Linked DNA regions of Oryzias latipes. The protein of the gene in region 1 purifies or fractionates together with the protein of each later gene. This does not show direct contact. Links are inferred from orthologs where the notes say so. Each region holds a gene or a part of one and is shown on either strand. Other genes may lie near its edges.

Region 1 (5,033 bases):
CCATTTTCTAATCTATAACCAAACGACTGCACGCAGCGACACGACGGAGACATAAACACAGCAAACCTCCAAAGCTCTGGCAGTTATGAGAAGGATTTTCTCCACAGATTCAATTAACTAAAAAGCTGCACATTTGACAACAATTCCACCTTAAAAGCTGTTATTGATCAGAATGTTTGGAGGTCTGGGTTTCCTGTGTTATTATGCGCCGTTGCTTCATCCTGTCACACAGCAGTCAGAACCTGGATCTGATCAAATCAAGCCTGCAGCGATTTTAATCTCCAAACATGGAGGTCTAATAACAGGACGGCCATTTCCTGTTATGATGACACACTCATCCCACTTTTCATCAGCATGATGAGATATACGATCCGGTTTGGAGGAGGCGGTCAGGCTGCAGGTAGATTACTCAGTTTACAGCCATGCATACCATAACATAATGATCAATTACCCTGTCATGTAATCCAATTAGCCCTGAGAGAACACGAGAGCTGAGATGCAACGATCCATGTTCATCGCTCAGCAAGAAAGCAACAGAACATTTCCCCAAAGAAAATCCGCAGTTTGGAAATTCCTCTGGGGGGTGGGGGGTGGGGGGGGCATCAAACCTTTGTCCAAACTGATGCTAAGCCACAAGATTTCCTTCAGATTCTGCAGAAAGCACAGATCCATATGAGCGATCGTCAAGCTCCAAAACCAACATGGATGTTCTGGAGCTTCAATGTGCAGAAGAAGCTTCACAAGCAGCACAAGGCAGCTGGACGCCATTTATGACGCCTCACAGACGCAGGTGATCCTGCAGACGTTCCTGCAGACGTTCCTGCCGAGAGCAGCCAGTGAGCAATGAGGGGTGGTGTGTGTGGGGGGGTCATTTTAATGTTCACTTTCATGAAGCAGTTATTGAAGGTCCAGAGGGCTCAGACATCAACACAGCTGTCATGCACCTCCAGACACCTCCATCACCTCCACGCTCCTTCATGCACCTCCACTCACCTCCACACACTTCCATCACCTCCACTCACCTCCACTCACCTCCACGCTCCTCCATCACCTCCACGCTCCTTCATGCACCTCCACGCACCTCCATACAGCTTGGTGCAGCCATATCATTGTCATTTGCTGGGCTCAGCCTTCTGGAAGGTTCTAATGTTGCAGCCGTTCAGCAGCAGGTATCTTACAGCCATTTTGAGGGCTACTTAAATCTAAAGGCTTGTTGGAAAAATAAACATGAAGCCAGAGAGACAGATGGAAAATGAGCAAAGGAAGGAAAAGGAGAACATGTTGCTGTGACTGCAGAAATGAGCCGTGCTCTCAGGTGAAACACAACCCTAATTTTTACTGTTAAGAGCACATTGTGCATTAGAATGAGCTGACTTTGCTCTGTGATCCATTTGCTGTTGTAAGTGATGGTCGGGCTCGGTAAGCACGGCTTGGAAACTGGAAAATAACTTGTCAAAACCCATGTGAGACAAGGGGGCTAAATGCCCTGAGGGAGAAATTTCAATCAATGTCTCCTTGTGCTTTCACCGCAGCAAATTAGATTGTTCCTGTGCATGGGAGGGAAGTGTGACCCTGAACTGACTGCAGGATGAGACGCAGAGCTCTGACAGGTACGGGGGGCAGCCTCGTCTGCGATGGAAACAGCAGCGGAAGCAAAAGCCTGGAGTTTACGCTTTGCATCTTCATCCTGGAGTGCAGGAGAAGGGCGGAGTCTCACAGCTTCCACAGGGAAATTCACCTTTTGCACCAAAAAATGCCAAAAATGTTGCAAAAACTCAAAGCTTCGAACCCAATGCTGTGGCTCTGATCATGTTTTTACTGTAAGCAGCTCAGAGAGGAAGTAACCACACAAAACCTTCTAATCAAATGTCTCTTCTACTATCTAAAACCTTCAGCTGCTCCAACAGCAGCTCTGAATCCTCCACTGTTTGGTTGTAATAATGACTTAGACTTTCAGTGGTGCTGGATGTGACATTGAAACGGCATCTATTACACAGAAAAATGTCTGATCCAATCAGGAGCTAAATCAAATAGCAGCAAGTGTCAAAGGAGAGTTATTGGTCTGGTTCTCCTCAAAAAGTGCTGATGAAAGCGACGATGCTGAAGTGAGGAGGAGGAGGATGAGGGGAAGGTGCTCTGGGCTGAAGGAGGAGTGTTAGCACTTTGTTTCAGTTCCTCAGGTCAGAGGTCAGCGCCGGGTCAAAGATACAGTAACAAGGTCAGAGAGGACGACAAACGGATCAATGCTTTAATGTGAAAACATCTGCGCTCCTCCGGCGGATCAATCTGTCCACAGATGAGATTATTTCCACCAGACCCGGATAGAAAAACGCTCAAAAACACAATATTTTAGTTGAATCCAAAACCCAACGAAGTAAGGTGTTGTTGTAATAAATAACAGCAAAAATCTGTGATGGACAGAAACTTCACTTCATCTGCAGTTTCTGTCCCCATGTCGGACTTTAACTAAGAGAAGCTTCTAAATGATCCTTTCAACACGCCACTATTATAGATTTGAATAAAAAACAGCAAACTGTAAACTCCTGAAGGCGGGAAGAACAGAAGTCCTTCAGAGGACGGTGACGCCATCACCCAGAAGATCTTTGTTCCAGTGAACCAGCAGCTCCATGCAGGATGGAATCGGGTTGGCGTGCGCCCTGCACCTCCTGCAAACAAACAGCCATGTTTGCCCAGAGACAGCAGCTGCTGCACACCTGCCTGCAGCGCCTGCCTGGACGCACGGCACGCACGCGGCTCTTTTGTTGCTCGGAGCCGCCAGGTGATGGAGGTGATGGCTGCGGTGCCGGGCCGGACGGGTGTAGATTTCAGCACCCCTTTAATTACCAGCACAGCCTTGACTGGGTAAATCCAGCGGGGGGAGCGGTGACCTTCGGTCCACAGAGGAGGAGCCATGTTTGGGGCTTCAGTCTGAACTTGTTTTCCTCGTGAAAGATCATAAAACCACAGCATTTATTTTATGAAGAGCATAAAGACGCTCTACACCCATAAAGGGGGGATTAGAAGTTTAATAGCCCCCACTTCAGGTGAAATAAAGCAGCAGAAGCTCGATGATGATGGGGCATTTCAGAGCTTTTTGCCCCAACTTCTAACTCTGATTGTGAATCTGTAACAAAAGCAGAGATCTTCTGGGGGTCCAGCCTCCTGAGTGACGCACTCTTTAAATTTAGACCGTGTTGGGACAGTTGGGCTGTGGGATTGTGAATGGGATTATAATATTATGGGGTGTCCGACAGACTGACCGCTCTCTGCGGGCCATCGGAGGAACATCACGCACTCGAATCACGCAGCTGCTGAAAAGCTTTTCGTCATTTTCTCTTTCACCTGAACATGCGCAAACTTCTGCGCACTGAGCTGCTTTTTCCTTCAGATGTTCATGAATTTGTCAAAGTTCCGTCCAGTTTAGCTCTAATATACATCCCGGAAAGTTCTGGTTCCGGTGTCTAACACAAAAAAAACCCGCAGTCCGCAGTGAAAACCACGCAGCCACAGTTACTATAACATGTTTTCCGCTCAAACCGGGTGTGTTTTCCCGGTTATCCGGGATGAACCGGCGCCTTACCTCCAAGCAGCAGCAGCAGCAGCAGCAGCTGCAGCGCAGCGGCTGTTCCCGCACAGAAACCACAGCGTGACTCCATCCCGCACCACCATTAGGGGAAAGTTTTCAACGCAGACACAATCCACGCAAGTTCCTGCTTCCAACCCGCAACAGATACACAACCGGGAAAAGCCCAAAAAGTTCGCGCTGAAAGGGAGAAGACACCCGCAAAAGACAGACCCCCGCGTGCGTCCTGCGCGCGCCGCTCCGGGTAGACAGATGAACTCCTCACCGTCCCACCGACGCGCTGCAGAGAGAGGCTCCTCCAGCGGTGGCTGGGTGTGTGTGTGTGTGTGTGTGTGTGTGTGTGTGTGTGTGTGTGTGTGTGTGTGTGTGTGTGTGTGTGTGTGTGTGTGTGTGTGTGTGTGTGTGTGTGTGTGTGTGTGTATATGGGCAGCTCCACAGGGGTGTGTGTTCGCCCGCGCGGGGGGAGGGGGGTCATTCATCAGCAGCTCATCAACTCATACCTGTTCTGTGGACCTTCATCTTTGTTTTCATTCTGTTCACTTTTATGCAAACATTTTAGAATGACATTTTTTTAAGTTTCTCTGCGGCTTAAAAAAGCTTTAGAAATAAAAATACGAACTATTTGTAATAAAACTAAAACTTACGTAAGAATTCACAGGCAAAGATGATGTTTTATGACGTCATGATGTTCTGAGCGTAAATGTTTCTCACTGAGACATCTGAGTGATTCCTGACAGCTGCACTGCCTTCTTCCCTGGGGGGGTCATCTCCCTTGTTTTGTCCTGGATGTTAGGGACAGACCCGCCTCCCTCGACCGTCTTCATGCTGTGGTTCAGGGACTCTCAGGTATCTGTTTGGGCATTTGCTTTTTTAAATTCTGATTTCATGACTCACTTTTCTTATTTTAGCCTTTTATGCTAACATATCAAGAGCCTTTCATGTGTGGTCAAATTGTGGGAGACCTTTCCCCTGGGCCTGGGGGGCTGAGGTATGACAGGCTGAAGGGATGCTGAGGCGAGGCCAAGGCGGCGTCCTTCCACCCCCTGCCTGATGCCAAAGCGTGAGGCTCTCAGAGCGAACAGGAGGTCACAGAGCTTCCTCTGTTGACAGGAGAACAGCACCTCCTCCTCCTCTGCCATTTTAAAACCAATGATTCCTCTGTTTGCAGATGTTTAGTTTGCATTTCTGTAAAGACATAAATAAGATGAAAACAAAGATGCAGAATCTGCTGGAGACTGTTTATGTGGGCTGATAATGAAACGATTCTCATAAAACTCCTTCAGGTTTGGTTTGGAATCACAAAATCAAAAACGTTGATACGGAGTGGATTCTACAATCTGAACAAGTGTGAAGCACCTCAGAGCATCATGGGAGTTTGAGGACACGATCACATGACATCAGGAGCCGAGCAGGCGGCTGGAGCGCAACAGATAAAGTTTCCATACGGCAG
Region 2 (5,047 bases), on another chromosome or scaffold:
TTGCTCACTTTTCTAAGAAAGACAGGAAAAACAGAAATGAGTCACCATGTTCAACATTCGTTTTTTCAGTGCATGTGCGTCTCATTGACAGAACTCTCCCAGTGTTGTGCCTGAGAAGTAGGAAACATCTCAACTGACAATGTCGACATGTGTAAACATCTTGAATTAAAAATAAGCAAAGTGTCATTGATATAGGATTTGGTCCTGCACAACCAAAACTTTCATGGTTTATTTTTCATGGAAACCAGGTGAATTTGTGTGTCTGTTTCTGAATAAAGTGTGTGCACTGCAATTTGAAAAAAAAAAGACTCTGTTCATTAATCTTGAAGAAAAAAAGTCATTTTCTCTTGAAGAAAGGAGCCAAACAAAATGAGAAAAAGCTACTGTAATTGAAATTCTGCAGCTGATAGAATAGATTCAGCCGGTGACACCTCATTTCATTAAAAGCTAAGGACACACGGCTCCAGACAGGAGCAAAGGGTGGTTCCTCTTTGTCTCCCTACAGAGTTGTGATGACCTTGATGTGATGGAGACACATAGACACTCACTCTCTGGCAGAAAACAGCATTAAAATAATCAATGGGTGGGAAAATGCAATTAGGGAGAGTGCACTCTCAGAGCAGGATGGAGAGCAGACTAAAAGAGAAATAAAAAGCATGCACAGGGGTGGAATGATGTTGGTAGAAAATAAGAATGTGTTTATTAATAAGCACATTATTTACAATGGTGGAGGCAGGAAATATGTGTTTTAAGCCTGTAAAATAATACTTTTTTTGTACATTATAGAGTTATTACTTCTAAGAATCATGTGTTTCACTACAGTACATTTGGACTTGTTTAAATTTACAGTCATAACTAACACACTAGGAATAAGGTGAATACATTGCAACAGCAATGTAAGACCTGTTTTGGTTATGTTATTTGCATTTTTAATTAAAAATAAAGAAAACTGTACAACTTTATCGTTTGTTTACATTTTAATATTCAAGCCAGCAGTCAGAGTAGTCAATTAGTCATCATTTCTTTTTTTACTCTTCTACCGTGAAAAAGGTCTGGCTATTGTGAAGCAGTATCATTATCAAATTTGATGACGTCAACGTTGCCGGTAACTCAGATGACTTCCAGGCTGGCTGTTCTCTTGAAATACCAACCCTCCCTCTGAAATAAGCGAAACACACGGGCTTCCGTATAGTTCCGCGGGAGGGAGGGTTTGCTTTGAGGAACAGCTTCGTTGCGACAGCGGTAAACAGAGAAGGCTCAACCAAACTTGCTGCTACATCCCGCCTTATCTCCATATAAAGTCGTTTATAGTTGGTATAAAAAAAATTAGCGACTCTCATTGGCGGAATGAAATGTCAACCAAGTAGATTTGGAAGTTTGTTTGGCTGGAAAGACTGCAGTTTAGTTGATGGGCTGGGCGGGGGGGTACTTGTTTCTGAAAGTGGTTTCTCGTGGTGCGAAGATTACGGTTTGCGTTACACTATATTTGGGAGCACTTTTCCTCGTTTATGACGCTCAATTTCTACTTTTTCTTCGTTAAAAAGTTGTCGCTGACGTCTTTGTGAGCTTGTGTTTTTTGTGGGAAAGAGACCAAACTGCTCCGGATCCAACGAAGGTGGTAAGTCGTGACTCAGCTGTTAACATATTATTACACTAAAAAAAAAAAAAAAAAAACAAAGAAAAATTCAAAATATTGCCATTGTATTAGTTAGTTTTCTCCAAGGATGTCGTGCTAAAGCGAAGCTAGAGCTACAGCCATAACTTAGCTACAGTCAAATGTAATATAATTCTGTGAATGCATCATGCCTAAAGTTAGTGACAGACAGACAGACATCGTGTGCCAGGGGTCTTTCTTACGTAAGTCTTTAAACTAAAGCCATCACACATTTCAATGTTAGTTGCTGAGTGACGTTAGTTAGTAATAATATCACGACCAGGACTCAAAAGTGATGACGTTTTTGTGTTTCTTTTTCGACTATCCGGTGGTTGGTGCCTTAAATTTAAATAATTTACTTGTATGGAGGTCGTTGTTTATTGTTTTTTTCCTTAGTTGTCCCGCCCATCATATTTATGAAGAAAAGTACTGTTGTTCATTCGTAGCACAAATAAGATCTGCAGGTATATTTAAGCCCCCAATAGTTCTGAAAACGTACATAGAATTACATATACATGTATAGTATAAAGCATAAATATGGCTGCATGACAATTTTCTACATAAATATCATAAAATAGCATGCATTGTTGTCCCTGAGCCATCTCGCAGTCCCAGGCTTTGTAAAAGGGAAACTTGGCATGGTGACTGTGCTCTGATGTTTAATAAGGAAGTACTTTCCTGGAATATCACTGACCTTATGTAAGGATTGTGCATTACCAGTAAGTAACCACACAGAAAAGAAAAAAAAACACTACAGCAGTTCTCTTTCTGACTTTCTTATTAATCATTCTGATGATTTCTCAAATAGCAGTGACCTGCATGGAGCTTTGAGAAAGGAAAGAAAACGATTAATCAGTGACTGTAGTGAATTTGTGCGATTTTACATACCTAGATTTCTCAACATGATGCAGCAATGTCTACTTCATATTTCATTAAAATACAAAGATCAAACAGAAAGTTTCAGTGTTGTTGTTGTTGTTGTTGTTTTACTTTTTAGTACAAGGCTTTTCTGAAAATTTGTGATAAAAGTACTCCTGTATTTTTTCATGTAAGGAGGTTCGTTACAAGATTTTGCTTGTATTGCGATTATATATTATTATATATAATTTGCTGCAAAATAACATTAAAATAGTGATAGTACCCTAAAATGAGTTTCCTGTGTTGTGTCAGATAAGCTCTGAATACTCCAGTTTCAGTTTTGCTGTTAGAATAAATAGCATAAAACATTTTTTGTTTGTCCAAATGATATTTATTGCAATGAAAGTTCATACCCTGTATATTATTACAGCTTTGATCTGTATTCTCTGGGCAGGAAGAGCATTATTTTGGCTATTGAGAAGGTCATATGTATGAGTTTATTTTTTGTTTTGCTTTTTTCAAATACAGTGCAAGCATCTAGTTCACATTAGCAGAATCAACAATACAGACACTGTTGTGAGAAAGCTTGTGTAACAATAGTCAAAGCATTGTGTGAGCTTTCGGACAGAAACTGGAGCCTGTAACCTAATATGGGTGGTACAGGACATGTCTTTCTGTTAAATGCCTTGAATGGGAGCTCAATTTGCAAACAAGGAAGCAGTAGCCATCTTTTATCAGCTGAGTCAGCCAGCAGGATGTGATCGATAAATTCAAAAACAACAAAAAGTCCCAGATCGGCAGGTGGTTAATGCTTAAAACACACGCTCGGATTTGAAGGGAAATCCTAATCTGACAGTCGCCTATCGCTTCAGAGGAAATGGTTTGTCTGGGTTTTGATCCATGCCCTCTGCATCTGAGAGGAAGAAGTTTGCTTTGTCGGTGTTTCATGCAAAAGTTGCCGGGGCAATTCTTTGACCAGAGATAAGCTTTTCAATGCTTTACAGCTGTTCACTCTGACCTATATTTTTTAGGGGAAGGCACAGTTTCAGAGAACAGGAAATGACTTTTGGCAACGCGAGGCCTCAGCATTGGCCTGTTGTCGTTTTCAGAGAAATCTGATGTTCAACCATTTCCCATTGGTGCAGTCTGATGAAGAACATTGAGCGCGGTTTTCTAAAGTATCATTTTCTGTTGATTTTCTGCCTGTTTTGTGTTGATAAAGCAGTTTCATCTCTGGCAGATTTGAGGCAGTGCTTGTCAGGATGGCTCAGTGGAACCAGTTACAGCAGCTGGAGACCAGGTATCTGGAGCAGCTCTACCACTTGTACAGCGACAGCTTTCCAATGGAGCTACGCCAGTTTCTTGCACCCTGGATTGAAAGTCAAGACTGGTAAGAAATGATTCAAGTCTTTGTTTAAAAAGTCTGCTTTTATCTGCTAGATAAAGCTGACCTTGATCTTTCAGGGCTTTTAGGTTTGCAGCTATGAAGTCATAGCTCATATAAACACTTTCTCTCACATTTTATGTTACTGCAATGCACTTTACCATGTTCAATTTGAACTTTTTGTGTTGTGATCACACACAAAAATTATAGTCTTTAAATATTTTCACAAAGTTGGGATTTCTTTTCAATAAACCTGGGAATTTTGTGTTGTTGGAATCTGGAAATCGATATGTTTTTGTGTTCCCCCCACTATTTTCTAAGGGCCTATGCTGCCAACAAAGAATCCCACGCCACCCTGGTGTTCCACAATCTCCTGGGAGAAATTGATCAGCAGTATAGCCGTTTCCTCCAGGAGAACAATGTCCTCTACCAACACAACCTGCGCAGGATAAAGCAGCATCTGCAGAGCAAGTATCTGGAGAAGCCAATGGAAATCGCCCGCATTGTCGCCCGCTGTTTATGGGAGGAACAGCGACTGCTGCAGACAGCCACCTCTACTTCCCAGGTGCCTAGTCTTTCTCAAACTTCAAGGTTTTATTGGTGAAATTACCGGTAATTTGAACGGGAACGTTTGAATGAGGCGTGCTGCTTCGTCTCTCACAGGATGGTTCAGCAGCCCATCCCACCGGAACAGTCGTGACGGAGAAGCAGCAAATTCTGGAGCACAACCTTCAAGATATCAGGAAGCGCGTTCAGGTTAATATTGTTCAAAACCCACTTGGTTTTTATTTAAACACGAAAAAAAGTTCTATATATACATGTATATATATCTTTATATTTTGCAGGACATGGAACAGAAGATGAAGATGCTTGAAAACCTGCAAGACGACTTTGATTTTAATTACAAAACCCTGAAAAGCCAAGGAGGTAGAATATTTACGAGTGCTGAGTTATTCTCACCCAGGATTGTGAAGACTAACGTGCCCGATCACCTGTTGCTCCAACACTAGAGCTGAACCAGGACTTGAATGGAAACAGCCAGGCAGCTGCCACTCGACAGAAGATGGCTCAACTTGAGCAGATGTTGAGCGCTTTAGATCAGCTCAGGCGGGTCAGTGGTTTTCATACGGTGACGGGCTAAACCCAAACGA

Evidence for each region. Proteins that work in one complex are often made in the same cells at the same time.
Region 2: the proteins of ret (region 1) and stat3 purify together in Homo sapiens (affinity purification with western blotting; 3 studies listed by BioGRID and IntAct, with this or other methods). This does not show direct contact. The link is inferred for Oryzias latipes from reciprocal best matches to the Homo sapiens genes RET and STAT3.

Annotation. Positions count from the first base shown.
Region 1 is NC_019873.2:29,914,492-29,919,524, forward strand, and holds the start of ret (proto-oncogene tyrosine-protein kinase receptor Ret), read right to left. Parts: upstream 3,902-5,033; 5' UTR 3,657-3,901; coding exon 3,581-3,656; intron 1-3,580. UniProt on the Homo sapiens protein: Receptor tyrosine-protein kinase involved in numerous cellular mechanisms including cell proliferation, neuronal navigation, cell migration, and cell differentiation in response to glia cell line-derived growth family factors (GDNF, NRTN, ARTN, PSPN and GDF15).
Region 2 is NC_019866.2:6,344,447-6,349,493, reverse strand, and holds the start of stat3 (signal transducer and activator of transcription 3), read left to right. Parts: upstream 1-1,419; 5' UTR 1,420-1,618; intron 1,619-3,752; 5' UTR 3,753-3,774; coding exon 3,775-3,902; intron 3,903-4,217; coding exon 4,218-4,461; intron 4,462-4,559; coding exon 4,560-4,652; intron 4,653-4,741; coding exon 4,742-4,823; intron 4,824-4,906; coding exon 4,907-5,007; intron 5,008-5,047. UniProt on the Homo sapiens protein: Signal transducer and transcription activator that mediates cellular responses to interleukins, KITLG/SCF, LEP and other growth factors. Once activated, recruits coactivators, such as NCOA1 or MED1, to the promoter region of the target gene.